Schizosaccharomyces pombe: one gene and its partner. The gene in region 1 interacts genetically with each later gene. Each region holds a gene or a part of one and is shown in the gene's direction. Other genes may lie near its edges. The genes, in order: mug24 and alm1.

Evidence for each region.
Region 2: mutations in mug24 (region 1) and alm1 are lethal when combined (synthetic lethality), as found in Schizosaccharomyces pombe (one study listed by BioGRID).

Annotation. Positions count from the first base shown.
Region 1 is NC_003421.2:1,916,187-1,925,337, forward strand, and holds mug24 (rrm type RNA-binding protein), read left to right. Parts: upstream 1-3,095; coding exon 3,096-5,060; 3' UTR 5,061-6,547; downstream 6,548-9,151. Other genes in the region: vacuolar phytochelatin and glutathione S-conjugate ABC family transmembrane transporter Hmt1, read right to left, coding at 1-1,036, 1,159-1,356; SNARE-binding protein Sly1, read left to right, coding at 7,011-7,062, 7,126-7,394, 7,496-8,583, 8,626-8,734, 8,788-9,151. UniProt on the Schizosaccharomyces pombe protein: Has a role in meiosis.
Region 2 is NC_003424.3:3,189,110-3,199,795, reverse strand, and holds alm1 (nucleoporin Alm1), read left to right. Parts: upstream 1-3,028; 5' UTR 3,029-3,080; coding exon 3,081-8,264; 3' UTR 8,265-8,349; downstream 8,350-10,686. Other genes in the region: ntr1 (RNA-binding splicing factor), read left to right, coding at 9,005-10,686. UniProt on the Schizosaccharomyces pombe protein: Maintains the proteasome and its anchor cut8 at the nucleus envelope and is required for kinetochore component proteostasis. Proper kinetochore stoichiometry ensures the correct attachment of kinetochores to spindle microtubules during cytokinesis.

The DNA of each region.
Region 1 (9,151 bases):
ACACAATAAGCGTAAAATAAATGTCAAACTTAATAAAAAAGTATACCATGGCTACTCCCAAATCCAACAAAACAGGCCCAATCTGAAACACAACTTGTTCTGCAAACGTATTCAACGAACTTCCTTTAGTTAAGGCGGTCAAAACCTCACCAGCACGTTTATTCAAATGAAAATCGTATGACAGGTTTAGAACATGTCTCAAAGCCTTAGTTGATATCGCTCTATAAGCATATTGAGAGACAGGAACCCATAAGAAAGATCGAAGAGAACCAATTACTCCCATATTTCCTTGCAAAAAACGATAGATAACGAATAGAATAACATCAGACCAAGGAATTTTCTCACTATGTTTTGTGAGCTTTTCAGTTAACACACCCAGTTGTCGGGGAGCAAGTATGTTAACAGCTCGCCCCAAAAAGAGTAAAACTATGCAAATGAAAATCTGAAACTGAAGTCGGTAATCTTTTGTCGGCCAGAGATAGGGAAGTAAAGTAGAGAAAGAACGGAAATATTCTGCCCAAGATTTATCACTAGGTTTTTTCGATGTTGATTTGAGTGTACCAAAATTCGAGGTTGATGCCGATACACCGAGCTGAACGGTCGAGGGATTTTGAGAGATAGCATTCTCATTAACGTTTGACTCTTCTGTTAATTGACGCTCCTCAAAATCCAGGGGATCGTGCGTATGTCTCTTTCGTCTATAAGTTAGATATATAGCTGTAGCGAAAACACATAAGACCAATCGGGCTACATGGTCCGCCAATACAATTCCTTGAAATGTTTCATTTGGATGAGGACTGTAGACAATGAAAATTGTTTCAAATACAATGTCTATAGCCCAAACGTACAAGACGCTAAGGCGGTAGGCCTTTAGTATGGAATCCGCATTTTTTGGAAGAGCTTTAGAATCTGCGCATGAGATAAGTACAATTATCCAAAATAAAAGGAAGAGAATTAAACAGACAACAGTGGTTTTACAGGGCCACCAATTTGGAACTCGCAATGCGTAGATGACAAGATTGCTGATATCAACGACCTAAAAATGAAATTAGCAATATGAAGCGAGGTTAAACAATTAAACATAAACATTTTTCTTTCAAAATATACTTATATATATATATATATATATTTTTTAAGAAAAATGCTTGAAATACGTACGTAGGTTAATGCAATTCCCAATATCCACCAGGAAATTATTCCTATAGGTTCTTTGCCGAAGCGATTTTTCCTACGATAAGGATCAGAAGTAGCTTTCCTTTTCTGCAGTAAGTTCAAGGACCCAATACTAAAAAATCCGACATATAGAAGGACCAGCTCAAGAATATTGAGGCGTGGGCTGTTGTAACGTAGAACCATTACAAAAAAATCAAAAAAGAAATGCCAGTTTGATTAATAAAACTTTAGGTAAAAGTAACTTGATAATTTTAAATTGTTACTGCTTCAATTGCTAATTTGGTTTGACTGAGGTTAAGTGGTGTAGAGGTTAAGAGTGACAATGGTGAGGTAAGAATACCTCCTATACGGTACCAAACTACCCCACTTACGGAGCCTTTCGAAAGCAGAAAATCAGTATGAATTTTGTATATTTTGTTTCAACTTTTTTTTTTGTTAAGAGTCTTAACCTCCTTACAAGATCGTAGCTTAAGGCATACATCCTTCATCGGCCACGATAGAGGAACAAATAATGTACTTACTTGTATTGAAAGCTTTACAAATTTCAACGGCATAGTAACAACTTGTAAAGGGTCTTCTTAAAATATAGATAAAAGGCGGCTGAACTTGATGTTGACTGGCAATGTTGGGTATACAAATCTAAAATTGATGAGCTTGAATGCAATAACCTAGTATCTGGAACCTTCGAAAAGTTTTAAAGAAACACGTAACAAATCCTTTTTATTTGAAGAGGCTTTCAAGCAAAAGTTACAATATTTAATTGCATAACACACCTTCAAACTCTGACTTTCGCTAACGGCCTAGAAATGATAAACTCATTAAAGACTTCTATTTTTTAAAATTAATATTTTTAATTAATGGTTGAAATATTCAGAAGAACTTCAAATTTAACTACTTTTAACTTACTGACATCGTTATTTTCTTTCCAAATTTTTTTATCAGATCAAGCCTCAACGTACATCATTGTGACAGAATACAGTCTACACCAATTTATGAATAAGCATTAAGTATAGCCCTAGCCGAACTTTTTTACTATCTAACGAAACGCATCACATTATATAATAGGCTTTATGAAGCTAAAACCTTATGAACCACAATGTCGATAACTTCAAAACAGCAACAATCATGCTAGAAGTGGACGGGCAATTTGAAGCATCTAACACAGTATACGTAATTCTTTAACAATATTTTTGAGTACTCTTCGTAAGGTTGATGGTATTGTTGCCTTGGATCAGTATTTGCATTGCTCGGTATAAGGGATATGGGGGATACCTATCTACTCTTAATTTTGCTCTGGCAGTTTAAAAGGCGGGGGAAGGCTGGCTAATCGTAAATCTTGCACCCAAAAAGTCTATTGGCTCTCGAGGTTTTTATTAAAGGTAATTTCAAGGCTTAGAAATGGCTGTCTACCAGCCCTTTATCATGACTGTACTATTCGCGAGGAATTGGTGGTAGTCACTGTGCAGTCATAATAAGAACCGAATAACTTAAAGGGACAACTATGATTGGACGTAAGTAATTTTAACTATTAAGCCTCGCTAAAATAAGTACATTACGTCGACTTTAGCGAAGAGTGGCAGCGGATTTACCGTCGCATTCGTCGTTTGTGGGCCATCCTGACGTTTTAGAGTTGCAACTTTGTGCCTTTTGATTCGTCCTTCTATTTAAGAAATGTGGGACAGCTTTGCGGGGAATGCTTGCGAAAATAGCAATGTTTACATTTGAAATGGTGCTTAGCTGTTACGAAAACTTGACACGATATGATTTTTTTTATCTATAAATAAGTGTCCCTCTCACCAGTTTTGACCATCGAATACAGCATTTAAATCGATACTAATTTTGAAGCGAAACTCATCAGTCTAAAGCACTCTATATTTTGAAGCATCCATATTCTCACTCAATTCTTTTTTTTTAACACTATAATGGCTATTATGCACAAAATTGGCTGTGCCGGAAGTGAAGTTGAGACCGACCGTGTTCTTGAAAAAGACCAAGCAAACAACGGTCACTTCGTTGATAGTGATTGCTGCTTTCAAGAGACAGGAAGTACTGGCACGGCCAACAGCATTTGCACTTTAAATGATTCAGAAGATGATAACAGTAGTCTTAATTCAGTGGACAATAATGAATGTACCAACCTTGACTGTGGTGGTAAAAAGCACAAAAATCTTTCACCTAATCCTTCTTTCCATGTAAACATCAATGCCGCAGAATTTATTCCGAAATCTCATAATGGGTATGCTCCTAAATCAATGAATCCCCCTCCCGAACAACTCGATTCTCCTTGTTATCCTCATTTTGACCAGGACTCTTCTTCAGTCATTTATCCTTCTCCACCTTCAACCTATTACCCCAACATGTATGTTTCAGCAAACACCTTCATACCGATGCCCTATGCCCACTATACCGACAATATGTATCATGCAAAACCTGTAAACCGTCCAAATTTCCTACCTCGAGAAGGTACTCCTCCTCCGTTTGCCCAACAACCTGCGGAGCAATTTTCACCATTCAATTCAGAATACGAATCCTTGTTAGATTTTCGTGCTTTAATCCTTGGTAACTTGCCAGTTGACTACAAAATTTCCGAATTACTTTCGCTTATCCACTCTGGACCATTAGAGAAGATTCAGTCCAACCCTGGAAAACGCAGGATTATAATTACATTTCTTGATTCTGCTGATGCCTTTTTCTTTTATGAAAGGTACCATCCTCGTGGATTCATTTTTCATGGTAGGCCACTCAAATTGACATTTGCTAGACCTTCTCCTTTACCTGAATCGATTCAAAATTTTTGCTCGAACACTGCGGCCAGCCGTAATGTGTTCATCGGCAATCTTCCTTCTTCTTATCACGAGAAGGAAATTGAAGAAGCGTTTGGTAAATTCGGCAAGATTGAGCACATAAAAATCCTCTCGAAAAAGAATATTGCTTTTGTTCACTTTTTGAACATCCGCGACGCAATCAAGGTTGTTCGTACCTTATCTTGCGATCCTGACTATCACTCATGGCGAATATTTTTTGGCTCAGATCGCTGTGCAAATCATCCACCTTCATTTGATGAAAGGTCATGTTTCACTTCCAAGCAAAATCCGGATACCACGTCTGACCGTTGCAGGCAGCAGGAATCAAAAGACAATGGAAACCGTACTGTCTTCCTTGGCAATCTCCATACTAAGACTAAAGGACATGAAATATGCGATCTAATCCGACATGGAGGGTTACAAGACTTCCACTATATTCCTGAAAAACATATATGCTTCGTTACATTTATAACGTATTCGGCCGCCAACGCTTTCCACGACTACTTGGCTGAGGAAGAAGTTTTATTACACGGTCGAAGAATTAAAGTAGGATGGGGTAAAGAAAGTGGACCTTTGCCCAGAGTTTTAGAAGATTCTATATTGATGGGCGCTTCCAGAAATGTTTACTTCAGCCATATATCAGATTCACTTACTACCGAAGAGTTAGAGCTCATACTGCGTCAGTATGGAGAGATTGAATCAATTAAATATTTAAAAAATAGAAGTTCTGGATTCGTTGCCTATACAAATATATCTAATGCCATGAAGGCTGTCAATGGCTTGCCTATACATCCTTTGTTCAAGAAGAGCAAAATCCGCTATGCTCCTGATAGATGCGAACAAGAGCTTCAAAAGTCTAAATCCAACTCTCCTATCCAACAGAATGTTCCATTGCAGCAATTTATTACTCCACCGTTTTCATATCCTGTAGCTTATTGTCCAGCAATTCCTCCAGGTTCGGATCCAATATTAAATTTTGGTATCCAGTATCAGCCCTTTATCCCCTTTACAGCCGTTCCCTCTTTTCCTTTCAACTGCAATGTTCCGAACTATCCTCAAACATCCGACCACGAAAACGACTAGTTCCAATACTCGCGAAGTAACTTTTGTTCATCAGCAAGTCAGTATGTTTCCATTTATTTTTGCTTATTCTCAATTCTACGGGTATTCACTCAGCATGCAAATTTAGTTTGTAACAGAGACTCCCAAAAACTTAACACTAACTCCTCTGAAAAAAACTTGAAAATTGTCCAAACCTAACTAAACATTGCCTTAAAAAAATCTAAAATTCCAAAAAAAATTGAAAAAGAAAAAATTCAGAAAAAAAACTCTTTTTATTCTTGACTCTAATTAAACCTTATTACTGAAAGTTTTTGATTTATCGTTTTTACACGTTTTGATTGTTTCCCACCCAAATTTGAAATTTTTTTGCTTTGTCACATTACTACTCTTCCGTGATTTCCAATGTCTTCTTTTAAATTATGTAATTTTTTGTCTTTAAAGAAAAATTACCTTCAACCTTCTGAGCAGAGTTTTATTCATTCAATGTGTCAATTAGTTTTTCAAACCATTCTTCTATCACTAAGAGAAGCCGGTCTGTGAACTTTTACTTTTCTTACCTATTAAAGATTACTTACTTCTTGCTGATGAATTCATGAACCCTTCTCGATCCGTTACTTCATGGGTAGTTTGTTCATTTACCATTATCCATTTTTTACTATTACCACAATATTTTCCCATTTGCTACTGTTTCCGTTGATGCCGGTTTTAAGCTAACCCACCAGCCAATTTTGCATTTTTCCAGCTTGCTATCATTAAACCAACTATTCTCACTTATACACATTATCATTGTACTATCCACTGACGAATTCTTTACTATTTCTCCCGTTTGATTACAGCTCAGCTTTCCAGAATCATTGTTATTGTTCCTCGTCATGATCACTATTATCCTTTGTTCACAACCAATTAATTGACTATCTTCATTCTATCATTCCATCGACCCCATCACCAGTTCGTTTACCATTTGCTTTCTTGATAGCATTCAGCTTGATCACACTAATTTTATTTTTTTCTTGAGCTTCCATATTTATCGCTTATTCTTGCTTTTACTATTCTAGGATTAACGTACTCACCATTTTCTTTTCTTTCAAAGCTCAATTATTGACGTTACTCCCAACACTTTGCTTACTACCGTTTTTTGTTATCATAATCGTTCTGTCATTTCATTTTGTCATCACTATCCTTGTCCTTATTCCGTTTTTTTTGAGATTTTTGTTTTATCATTATCATTATTCGAGTCCGACACCTTCTTTGTCATATTTTCGGTTTACTTTGCCCAATTCCTTCCATCAATACATTGTTTAATTATATTTTCCATCCATCATTGCTGTTAATTAATTACTATTACGATGATTAGGTCTACGGTATCATTATCATCATAATGATCAATGAATAATTTCATATTTTGTTTAATTCAGTCTAAAAAAATAAACGAAGACATGCCTTCTACTTATTTGATCCCATGAGCAACTTTAGCCATCGTATATGATCCTAGACACTTAGAATATGCAAATCATTAATGGCTAAATTCATAATTAAGAGCTTTTTGCGTTTGGATACTCTTTTAATAATTGTATCTTTATAAGTAAATAGTAAAGTAAGAACACCTCTTAGAAATATATGTAATGTAAGCACAGTTAGAAAGCTGAGATTAAATCTTAGAAAAGTAAACTACTGAACGCAAGATTGATTTCCTTCCTACGCTTTGAATGTTTCCGGTGCACTAGTACTGTTTTTTTAAATATCTAAAAATTTAATGAAAATCAGAAATCTTTAGTAAAGATTGAAGACTACAAGATTTGGTAAAACAGCCAAACCTCAATATTTATTTTGTTGTTTACCTTTTTGAACATTTAGCGAGACTCGCTTCACTGCCATACACCACCATATGAAGGGTATGATTCTTATGTTTATCCCTCAACACAAATCATCCTTCTAAGTGCTTATATTAGTGCCAAAGTTGGAATTGGCACGATGTCTATTGCATCTGTAAAAACACCGTCTTCTTTGAGAGAAGCTCAAATTCGTAAGTAGTGTTGCTAATAAAACTGTATAATTCTCAGTAAGCATTGCTAATATGAACCTTTAGAATCTTTAGAAAAACTGCTTAATTTGAACCAAGACGTCAACGAACTTGAATCAAGCCCTCAACATGCCTCTAATTTTCCCATTTGGAAAGTTTTAATCTTCGATAAGGCAGGGTCGGAGACTATTTCTTCTGTTCTCAGAATTAGTGATCTCAGAAAACATGGCGTTACGGTTCACATGAATATCACTTCGTTTCGTCAGCCTATTGCTGATGTCCCAGCTATTTACTTTGTTCAACCTACTCAAGAAAACATTGAGCTAATAATAGAGGTATGGATTTCTCAGTATCATAATTTTCAATCAATTAATCTTATTGTCGGATACCAAATACTTTTTTGTATTACAGTTCAGCAAGCTAACATATTTTAAAGGATCTTTCGAAGGGTCTTTACGAATCAGCCTATGTCTGTTTTTCATCTACCATTTCTCGTGCTCTTCTGGAACAGTTTGCCGAATTGGCGTCGAAAACAAATACAAGTCACATGATTCATCAAGTGTATGACCAGTATCTTAATTATGTTGTGTTAGAAAGTGATTTTTTTTCTCTTCAACTGCCCAAAATCTTTCATACGTTCCATAACCCGTCTTCAGATGAGGCTCTCATTAATTCACGCGTTCAGGATATTGTAAATGGTCTCTTTTCAGTGATCGTTACACTCGGAACCATTCCTATCATTCGTTGCCCACAAGGATCGGCTGCTGAGATGGTTGCCCAAAAGTTGAATCAACGTCTAAAGGACCATTTAATGAATACCAAGGATGCTTTTGTTTCTGTTAATCCAAAACCAAGGCCAATTCTTATTTTACTGGATAGAACGGTCGATTTGATTCCAATGATAAATCATTCTTGGACTTACCAAGCTTTGATTCATGATACCCTAAATATGCAACTCAATAGGATTACCGTAGAGTCAGTCGATGATGGAAAAATGACAAAGCGGTTTTACGATTTAGATGGAAATGATTTTTTCTGGGAAAGTAATGCTAGCAAACCATTTCCTAAAGTTGCCGAAAACATTGATGAAGAGTTGACTCGATATAAAAATGATGCTAGTGAAATTACCCGAAAATCCGGTGTTTCTTCACTTGAAGAAGTTAATGTTGACGCATTTGCTGATTCGACTTATTTAAAAAGTGCAGTTAGCTTGCTCCCAGAGCTTACAGCTCGTAAACAAATCCTTGACATGCATATGAATATAGCAACTGCATTATTAAAAGCTATTCAAGAGCGCCATTTAGATGACTTTTTTCAGTTAGAAGATAATATAACTGGACTAAACAGAAGTGCCATTCTCGCTTGCATCAATAACAAGGAACAAGGAACTCCCGAAGACAAGCTACGATTTTTTATAATTTGGTATTTAAGTGTTGATTCCGTACCGGCTTCTGATTTGCAGGCATATGAAGAGGCGTTGGTTAACAATGGCTGTACATTAGAAGCATTAAATTTTGTTAAGAGGTATACTGATTGATGTTATTGGTTTTTTCTAACTTATATTAGGGTTCGTGAAATAACTAAAATGACCATGTTAGCATCTTCTACCACAAGACCAGCTACGGGTCAAACAGGAGATAATTTATTTCGTGGATTTAGCAGTCTTTCCACAAGGGTAAGAATAGTTTGACACTTTTTCACCTTAAAGCACATATTAATTGTTTTTAGTTTACCGACCGCTTTAAAGAAGCCGGTATTGGTGGCCTTGAAAATATTATTTCGGGGGTTAGAAATCTGATTCCCTTCAGGAAGGATGGGACTATTACATCTATTGTTCAGAGTCTAATGGACCCTGGCTCTTCTCCTGCCTCCAAACAAACAGAGTCTTATCTATTATTAGATCCCAAATCAGCTCGTGCTATTACTGTAAACAATGATCCTAGGGCCATGAACAAAAGACAGACTTTTAGTGAAGCAATTGTTTGCGTACTAGGAGGTGGTAATTATTTAGAATATGGTAATCTGGCTGATTGGGCGCGTGAACAAAATCCTAAGAAGCGTATCATATACGGTAGTACCGACATATTATCGC
Region 2 (10,686 bases), on another chromosome or scaffold:
CTCTCGAGTCTCTCGAGATAATGGCCAGGTTTTTTCAAGTGTAATTATGGCAGGAACATTAAGGCCTTCACCCAAAGGAGGACTTGATCCCTCAACAGGATATACGGCGCAAATCTTTCTCTCAAAAACAACGACCTTGCCAGGTATGTCTTCAAGCTTTTCGAATCCACTCAAATCGACGGGTTTTAAAAATGCAACTTGGCCATAGCCAGTGCGACCGACAGAGAATTGATGGACAGAACATAATTTTTCTTTAGGATACTTAGAAAGCTCCTCAATTGAGGGTTTCATCCAGTAATCGTCAGATAGAACTACATGTTCGTCTTTCTTTAAAGAGCCATCTGCTTCATTTTGAGGTGCTTTTTCTTGTACTTTTGAGTCTGATTTGGCATCGTTGCCATTTTTCACACCATTTTGCAGGATATCATCTTTGGAGATTTTGTGGGTAATAACCAGCTTTTTTATGTTTTGTCTCGGAGTAAAAGCATCGGCGCTCAGCAACACATCATCGTTAAGCGAATCAAACAGGTGTAGTGATTTCGGTTTACCAGAAGCACTTGTTGAATTCATTACAGCCGATTTGGCAAAAGAGGAAATAGAAGCCAAACGTGCAGTATTATGCGAACGAGGTGACAACCAAAATTGTGGTAGAGAAGCTGCCTTTTTGGGAGTCGGTTTAGAAGTCAACGGTGAAGCTATCGGTTCCTGAATACTAGTTGGTGCAACTTGTGAAGTTGTGCTTGAAAATAAGGGATTATTGCCGTAAGGGTTTTGGTCTATACTGGCCTGTAATGGTTGTTGCTGTTGTCCAGCTTGAGATCCACCAAATAACCCAGTACCAAAATTTGAAGTTTGTGCTTGGTTGTTAGTATTAGAAGCCCCAAATAATCCAGATGTAGTTGTAGATGGTTGTTGAGCAGTTGTGTTACCAAACAAACCACCAGTTGTAGTAGAAGGCTTATTAAACAAACTACCACCGGTATTGGTTGTGTTTGCATTATTGGATCCAAAGAGCCCGGTTCCGGTATTGGAAGTAGCATTATTCGTTTGCGTAGAGCCAAATAAACCGGTACCAGGAGTACTGGAGTTGGCTGATCCAAACATGTTAGAACCCGCAGTGTTCGCATTTCCGAATAAACTTCCGCCAGTGCCGGTAGCATTAGTAGCTGTGTTGGTATTAGCACCGGCTCCTAAACCACCAAACAAACCTGTCCCTGCTGGTTTAGGAGCAGTGGTAGCAGTGGATCCAAAAGCTGGCTTGGGAGCATTATTAGCATTTTGCCCAAAAGAAAAACCTCCGCTGGCAGGAGTAGTGGTCGTGGAACCAAAACCGAATCCAGAAGGCTTAGTGGCTGCATTATTATTGGCACCAAAGGAAAAATTACTACTATTGTTACCACCAAAAGTAGATGTTGGAGCGGTGTTATTATTTGCCGTATTATTATTAGCGCCAAAACCAAACAAACCTGTACCCATGGTACCTGAATTGGGTTGGTTATTCGTGTTGCTTCCAAACCCCCCAGTAGAAGAACCAAATCCCGTACCCGTACCAGTGGCAGCACCACCAAATAAGCCACCCGTAGTTTGACCTGTTCCTGTATTGGTTGCGTTATTTGAACCAAAAAGACCCGTTCCTGTACCAGTATTGGTAGTGTTAGTGGTTGAGCCAAAACCTGAAAAAGCTGGTTTTTGTTGATTAAATGTAGAGCCACCAAAAAGACCGGTTGAAGGAGTTGAGGTGGTATTATTGTTTTGACCAAATAACCCACCGGATGCATTATTTGTTCCAGAACCAAACCCTGTATTGGTAGTGTTACTACCAAATGCAGATCCACCGCCAAAGAGACCGGAACCAGGAGTGGTATTAGTAGCATTCGATGTACCAAACGGTGTTGCATTATTTGTGGTACCTGACAAATTCTGACCAAACGGAGTAGTTGAAGCTCCAAATGCGGGTGTTGAACCAAATGCAGAAGTAGTGTTCGTACTAGAAGCATTGCCAAAACGTCGTCCTTGATTATAGTCTTGTAAACGCAACTCTTCAAATGAATAAGATCTATAAGCGGGCATACAAGTTATAGACTGGAAGACACTAGTACCGTTTGTTTGAGGGTCTTTTTCAGAAGTTACCGCATAAGGTGGGTTAGCTGTACCATTCACAGCGTTTGCATTGCTTGAGACAAATCCAGAGGTTCCGAAAGCGTTGGTCGTAGCGGGTGTAGTGGACGAACCAAACAAGCCACCACCAGTACCTTGCGAACCAAACCTGTATTTCCAGCAGTATTGCCAGCGTTATTTTGAGAACCAAACAAGCCACCACCGGTACCAGTATTCGATGCAGTGTTACCGAACCCTGTTGAACCAGCGTTCGATCCAAAAGAAAATGACGTTCCAGTATTTGCATTGTTGTTGGCGGTATTTGATCCAAAGAGGCCACCACCACTAGGATTTGTGGCGTTGTTCGTGCCTCCAAAAGCAGGAGTATTGGATTGGCCAAACATACCTGTCCCAGAGGACATTCCAAAACCTGTGCCACCAGTCGTGGTAGTGTTGTTTCTATTTCCAAATAGTCCACCGTTCGTATTTGATCCAAACAAGGGTTGAGTAGTGTTCTGCCCAAAGCCAGTTGTAGAAGTGTTTTGGGAACCAAACAAAGTGTTCCCTGGAGTATTGGAGTTGGAACCAAATAACCCACCAGTTTGTTGATTATTTTGACCGAAAGCACCGGTTCCTCCTCCAAATCCGGAAGAATTGTTTTGTCCAAACATCACTAGGATGATATTTGATTAAATAATTAGTAAAGTCACCAAAATTGGTGTTGTGTGGACGACAGGTCCGAATAGTGCACTGCTACTCAAGATACGTTCAAGGCGTGATAGAGAAGAATACAGAAATTTAGCTTTTTTTTTAATACTCACGGTAATTACAATTTTTAAATTTGCTTCATTTGTTTTTCTCAACGTAATTGTCGCATTTCTTCTAACGTGGTATTATTTCTGTACATCGAGGTTGATCACTTACTTCTCGTATACGTACACTGGTGCTTCATAAGTCATCGAACGTTGATTCCAGGCTAGAAAATGTCTTCGGGGGGACTTGAAGATGATATTCAGCTGGTACACGAGTTTTTGGATGTATCTTTTGAGGATATAAAACCCCTGGTGTCTGTCAATGGTTTCGCTGTATTTATATCTGCTATTAAAACCAAGGTTAAAGACATAAACGCTTTAAAGGATCAGCTTGTCCTTCAAGAAGTCAACCATGAGCATAAGGAGAATGTTCTTACGAAGAAGATTAACTTTCTTGAGCAACAACTTCAATCTTCTAATAATCAAGCAGAGGAATCACGTAATCTTATATCGGTATTGAGAAATGAGAACGAATCGCTGAAAACCAACTTGGAGAATCAAAATAAGCGCTTTGATGCATTGACTACTGAGAACCAGTCGCTTAGAAGGGCTAACTCTGAATTACAAGAGCAATCTAAGATTGCTTCTGAGCAGCTTTCAATCGCGAAAGATCAAATCGAAGCCCTACAAAATGAAAATTCACATTTAGGAGAGCAAGTCCAGAGTGCGCATCAAGCATTGTCTGATATTGAAGAAAGAAAGAAACAGCACATGTTTGCTAGCAGTAGCAGTCGTGTCAAGGAAGAGATACTCGTTCAGGAGAAAAGCGCTTTAGTCTCTGATTTGGCTAGTTTGCAATCAGATCATTCGAAAGTTTGCGAAAAATTAGAAGTTTCATCTCGTCAAGTTCAAGATTTGGAGAAAAAGCTTGCTGGGCTTGCCCAACAGAATACAGAGCTTAACGAAAAAATACAGCTTTTTGAGCAAAAGCGGAGCAATTATTCCTCCGATGGGAACATATCAAAAATCCTTGAAACCGACCCCACTTCAATCAAAGAACTTGAAGAAGAAGTGGAAACTCAGAAACGACTTACAGCTCTTTGGGAGTCTAAATCTTCAGAGTTGCAATCAGAGGTTGCTGCACTTCAAGAAAAGCTCACTTCGCAACAAAGTCTATACAATAATGTGACCGAAGAGTTAAATAATAACAAGCAACAGCTATTGATTTCGGAGAATAGTTTGCGGGAACTGCAAGAGAAATATGATAGTGTAGTTAGTGAACTACAAGTGGTTAAAGAAAATAAAAATACCTCTGTTTCAGCTGGTGTAGGTTTGTTTTCTCCTTTGGCGCAAAAGTTAAGCGCCGTTCAAAATCCCGAATTTTCATTTACGAAAGTATATTCGGACAATATGAAACTCCAACAGAAGGTTTCTAGCTTAAAGCTTCAGCTAGACCGCTTGACTAACAAATTCTCCTCATTTTGTGAACAAGTTAAACAAAGGATTCCAGTTGTCAAACAACAGAGGAGTGAAATCGTTAGGAATAACATTTATATGAATTTTCTTAGCGAATCTTTGGAAACATCTAACAACAACCTAACCAAAGTACAAGCAGAGCTTTTATCGACCAAAATGCGCCAAGAAGCTTGTTACTTGCAGCTCACCGCATCTCGTACTCAATGCAGTGATCTTTCTCGAGAAGTTATTTGTCTCATGGCCGAACTTGATCATTTGAATGAAACTAAATCAAGAAACGTTCCCGCTACTGTGCAAGTTGCGCTTGATGAATACGCTCAAAATCCCTCTACTGCATCTGAGACACTAGTAAACAAGGAGCTTGCTAATTTTTCATCTATAAAGGAAGCTGTTTCGAAAACTCTAGAACTGCGGGAAAAAGTGCGGGCCCTTGAATGCGATGTTGAAATCCAAAAGCAAACTGTCCAATATCAAATTTCCAATGCAGTTAAAGAAAATTCAAATACACTTTCAGAGCAAATCAAAAATTTGGAAAGTGAGTTAAATTCGTCAAAAATAAAAAATGAGTCCTTACTTAATGAACGAAATTTACTGAAAGAAATGTTAGCTACTTCTCGAAGCAGTATTTTGTCTCACAATTCTTCCGCGGGCAATATTGATGACAAAATGAAATCCATTGATGAATCTACAAGAGAACTTGAGAAAAATTACGAAGTTTATCGTAACGAAATGACAGCTATTCAGGAATCCTTGTCTAAGCGAAATCAGGATTTGTTGAGTGAGATGGAAGCAATACGTAAAGAGTTAGAAAATTCCAAATATCAGCAGCAGTTATCTACTGATAGATTAACTAATGCTAATAATGACGTTGAAGCCTTTAAAAAGGAAGCCAAGGAGCTTCGTAGTATTAATCAAAATTTACAGGATATAATTAGTCGACAGGATCAGAGAGCCAGTAAATTTGCCGAAGAATTATTACATGTTAACTCACTTGCTGAAAGATTAAAAGGTGAACTAAATGCTTCGAAGGGTGAAAAAGATTTACGGAAAAGGACGCAAGAGCGTTTAATATCTGAAAACGATAAACTTTTGGCTGAGCGCGAGAGACTAATGAGTCTTGTATCAGATCTTCAAACTTTTCTTAACCAGCAACAGCTATCTGATGCTGCTAGAAAAGTAAAATTTGAATCTGAGAAGGAAAGCTTAAGCCTTTCCTTGCAGAAGTTGAAGGAGTCAAATGAAAAGATGAGTAATGATCTTCATTCTCTACAGAAATCTTTGGAAAAGAGCGGAATTGAGTACTCCAGCAGGATTAAGACATTAATGCTCGAAAAACAATCGTTAAGTGAAGACAACAGGAAATTGTTAGATAATCAACAAATGATGGAAATAAAACTCCAAGAATTAAACGGCGTCATTGAACTTGAAAAACAAAGATTTTCTACTTTGGAAGCCAAGTTTACACAGCAAAAAAATACGTCCTATAGCGAAAGGGAAGCTTTGCTAGAATCATCGCTTAGTGACTTGCAATCTAAACATACTTCCTTAGAATCCCAATACAATTATTCTTTAAGGAATATTGAACAGTTACAGGCCGCAAGCAAACTCGCCGAAGAAATGGTTGAAAGAGTTAAAACTGAGTATGATGAGTATCGATTGCAAACTTCAGAGTCCTTGGAAAAAAATCATTTAAAAATCACTTCTCTTGAACAAAGGATAGTTATTCTACAAGATGAGATAGCTTCTTCTTCTTTACGCTGTGAGAATATTACTAAAGATAGCGAAACAAGAGTTGCCTTGCTTTTAGAGGAAAATAAGCATCTTAACAATGAGCTTTCGTCACACCGAAATGCTGAAAAGCAACATTTAGAGAAGGAGAATGATTATAAACAACAGTTGTTGTTGGTAACTGAAGATTTAAGAAAAACTCGTGAAGATTATGAAAAGGAACTTTTAAGACATGCCGATGCTAGATCGACTCTTCAAAAACTGCGCGAGGATTACACGAAGGCATTAGAACAGGTTGAAGATTTGAATAAAGAAATAGCCTTAAAGGCCGGTATAAACGAATCTCAGCCCTTTCCCATTAGTGAAAAAGAAGATCCTTTGAGACAGGAAGTTTATGTCCTCAAAAAGCAAAACGCAATGCTTTTAACCCAACTTCAATCTTCCAATCTCAACTTTGCAGAAATAACTAGCCCATCCCCGGATTTAGATTCTGTTATGAAATTAGGATTATCAGATTTACAGAATCATGTGAAGCGTATATCCAAAGAAATGGAGATTATTTCATGCCAACGACAATTATTATTCCTTGAAAATAAGAAACTCAAGCGAACCGTTGAATCATCGAATCGAGTTATCGCCGATCTGCAAAGAGGTATAACGGAAAAGGATGTTAGCAGTACTTCTGAATCCGTTGGGGAACGTTCAAATTATCTAAACATGGTTGCTTTATTAAATGAGAGCAACAAATCTCTCCGAGAAAATTTAGAAAGGAACGAGGAAGTTATCACAGAGTTAAGAGAGAAAATAGAAACTCTTAAAACTGATTTGGCGAATTTTAGACTTAATAAAGAACAACTAGAATCACAGCTTCAAACAGAGAAAGCAGCTGTAAAAAAGCTTGAAAACAGCAACGAAGAATACAAGCGTCATAACCAAGAAATATTACTATCTTTGAACAGTAGCACATCTACGTCTAGTGATGCTTCACGCTTAAAGAATGAACTTGTTTCCAAAGAAAACTTAATAGAGGAGTTAAATCAAGAAATTGGTCATTTGAAATCTGAATTGGAAACTGTTAAATCAAAAAGCGAAGATTTGGAAAATGAGAGAGCGCAAAACCAATCCAAGATTGAACAATTAGAGTTGAAGAATACAAAACTAGCAGCTGCTTGGCGAACTAAATATGAGCAGGTAGTTAACAAGAGCTTAGAAAAGCACAATCAAATACGTCAACAACTTTCGCAAAAGACTTCTGAATTAGAAGCCAAGGTTGCGGAATGTCATCAGCTCAATGAACAACTCAACAAACCTTCTGCAACCCCCACTGCTACTACACAGTCTGAACCAAGTACGGTGTCACTGGAAGAATTCAATAGCACTAAGGAAGAACTATCTTCTACACAGCGAAAGCTAAGTGAAATTATGGATATCTTAAATACTACGAAGGAGGAGCTTGAGAAGGTCAGACAAAATAGTAATAAATCTGAGGGAACCAGTAAGGATACTGAAATACCCAACGAAGAAGAAATGGAAAGGAAGAAAGTCATGCAACAGGAAGTTTTGAGGTTACGTTCGAGAATTGCAAAAGAGCTACAGAAAAACGAATTACTCAGGAAACAAAATCAGGTTTTACAAGATCAAGTGAAAGCTTTGCAAGAGACAGTTGTGTCATCCGAGGAAGCAGAGTCCGCTTCGGTACATGCTGATACTAAAGATTTGGAAAACTTAAAAAAGACAGAAGAGATGTTATCAGTTACATTTCAAGTAATCTTCAACGAGTCCATATCTGACTTTTCGACTTCCACTGCCGACTTTACTACTTTTGTGCAAAAGGAATGGGAAAAGCGCAGAGAAATTTTACAGAAGGATGTTGAGGAACAAGTTGCTCAGTCGCATCAAAAACAACTAGATAACATCCGAAAAGAACTCGAGATGCGTAACAAGTTGAAGTTGAGCATGCTGGAAAAGAACTTAGCTAGAGTGCGAGCAGAGTTGGAGCAATCGAAGAAAAAAGATAGCCCTGCAATTTTAAGTTTGGAAGCTTCTAAAAACACTGATTCCAATAAAAGCAATTCTGAAGTCCCAGCAGCTCAAGTTAAAGAGAAAAAGTTAATCGCCAAAACTCACTCTGTTGACACTAATTCTCCTCCTAAACGGTCCAGTTCAGACGCTGGTATGGATGTTTCCAATGATGTTAAGAAAGCCAAATAGTAAAATATGAATTTTTTGGTATAATGCCCTTTTTAATGTTTCTTAAGAGTTTGTAAACAGATAATAAAATAGGTTAGCTGCATAATTATTATTTCTGGTTTCCAATAAAAAAAACGACTTTAATTTTATTATAATAAAAAGCTTTGTATTGTAATTTAATATTTTGATATTTTTTGAAGAGCTATAGATATTTTGCGCAACTAATGTCCTTATTCAGATATGTAAGCTACGCAGTTTGGTATCTGATTTAAGGATACGTAGAACTGCGGTGAGTTTTCCTTGTGGTCTATTATATTACAATACACAGGTTGTATAAGTAGCAACTGAGTATAGGTATTGTATTAACTGGGTTATAATGTTACCTATCACTAATATAGCTCATAACTGAACTGAGGAACGAGGTTCAGTTGTAACGGTATTTATAATATTTCTAAATAGTTGTTATCAACGGGTAACTATGTATATAGACGGATAGTTACCCGTGATTATCAATAAACGGATCTTAGCTAGTATTCCAACATATGACATATAGTGATACGCAACGTAGTGTATCATAGCGTAGTGTAGTATTGCTGACAAGATAAAATAAATAATGACGTTTTCGCGTGTTCTTAAGCTTAAGAACGTAACGCGCAAAAACTCATTATATGACATCCATATTTAACCCACTGGAGAACTGACCCAAAATAGAAAATTTCGGTTTTCATTGGTTTTTATTTATATTGAATTCTTGGGTTGATATGCAAAATGAGTATGTCGATATGAATTCATCTTCCGAGGATTCAGATGGTGATTCAATTTTGGAAGAAGGACGTCTTCGTCCATCTTTTCGTGGGCAGCAAAAAGAAAGGGACATGCTAGGAATATTTGGTGAAGAAGATGAAGATGGTTTTCATAACTCGGGGATTGGAAGTGCTAGACTTCGTAGAAAAAACATTTCTTTTGTTGAGAAATCTGAACAAGTTAAAGCAAATAAGCAAGTGACAGCAGATGATTTATTGGAGGCGCATTCAATTCCACAGTTAAAGAATAAAAATGATGAGGTTTCTCAGGCGAAAAATATTCCAAAGATGAAGTTTAATACTACTGGATTTGGCGCAAAAATGTTGGAAAAAATGGGGTATAAACAAGGACAAGGTTTGGGTGCCAATGCTGAGGGTATAGCTGAACCTGTACAATCTAAGCTACGCCCCGAACGTGTCGGATTGGGAGCCGTTCGAGAACGGACCGAAAAGCAAAGGAAAGAGGCAATTGCTCGTGGTGAGATCTCTGATAGTGAAGATGAGAAACATACCGTCAAACAAAAACCTTTAAGAGAAAAAAAGAAGAAACCTTTAAAATCCTCTGAAGAAATTTCAAAGGATATGGGAAGTTATAACTTGCCTAGGTTCTTAGCCAGTCTCATTGATGCTTCCTTAAATGATACTAAGGAAATCGAATTTGTGACTTCAAATAAAGAAGAATTGGGTTTAGAAGGTCGTGATATGTCCACTTCTGGAATTAACCAGCTCTCCAGGCTTGCTCGGGTTGAATGTGAACACCATGCTTCTGCATGGCAACAATTACAAGCCCGTCGCGCCTATGTTAAAATGGAATTAAAGAGGGTCACAACGGAATTCGACGAGAAATCGGTTGAAATATCTCGTTTGGAAAAGCTTTTGGGTAAAGTTATGGAGGTAAAATCCAGGTCAATGGAGTTTACAGTACCTGAGGCCGAAATTGATGTTATCGAAAAAAGACTTCAGCCGTTAAATAACTTAATTGAAACGTTACCGGTTGAATTTTCAGAGGCAAGTATGCATTTTGAGCTTGACTCGGTCGCAGTGTCAATCCTTGCTTTTGTACTTTCAGAACCGATAAAAAACTGGGATGTCTGGAAACATCCATATTTTATGTTAGAAAGTTTTCTTTCGTGGAAAAATTCTTTATATTCCAAAGACTTTAGGCCCAAGAGAGAAGAGAGTAGTACATTTATGGATATTGATGTGGAATTCGATGATGAATTAGAAGGTCAAAGCTTAACACACTATGAGTCATTTATGATGTTTGTTTGGAAAAAAAAAATTGGTGAGGAACTGAAGAAATGGATTATTCAGGATTCTCTTAAGGCTTTGCAACTTTTAGAAGCATGGGACCCTGTGGTTCCAGAGAAAGTTAAAGATTCTTTGATACAAGATGATATACTCCCTAGGCTCAAAGATGCTGTAAGCAAATGGAACCCTAAATTAAAATTGAAGAAAAATGATTCACTGCATCATTGTATTTTCCCGTGGTTACCCTATTTGGAAAAGCACGCAGATTCACTACTGCAAAGTGTTTTGGTTCAGTTTTCTCTAATTTTGTCCCCATGGAAAATAAAGAATGGAAGTATCGATGACTTTAGTGTCTGGAGATCAGCGTTTGCTAATGATGCTTTAGACCG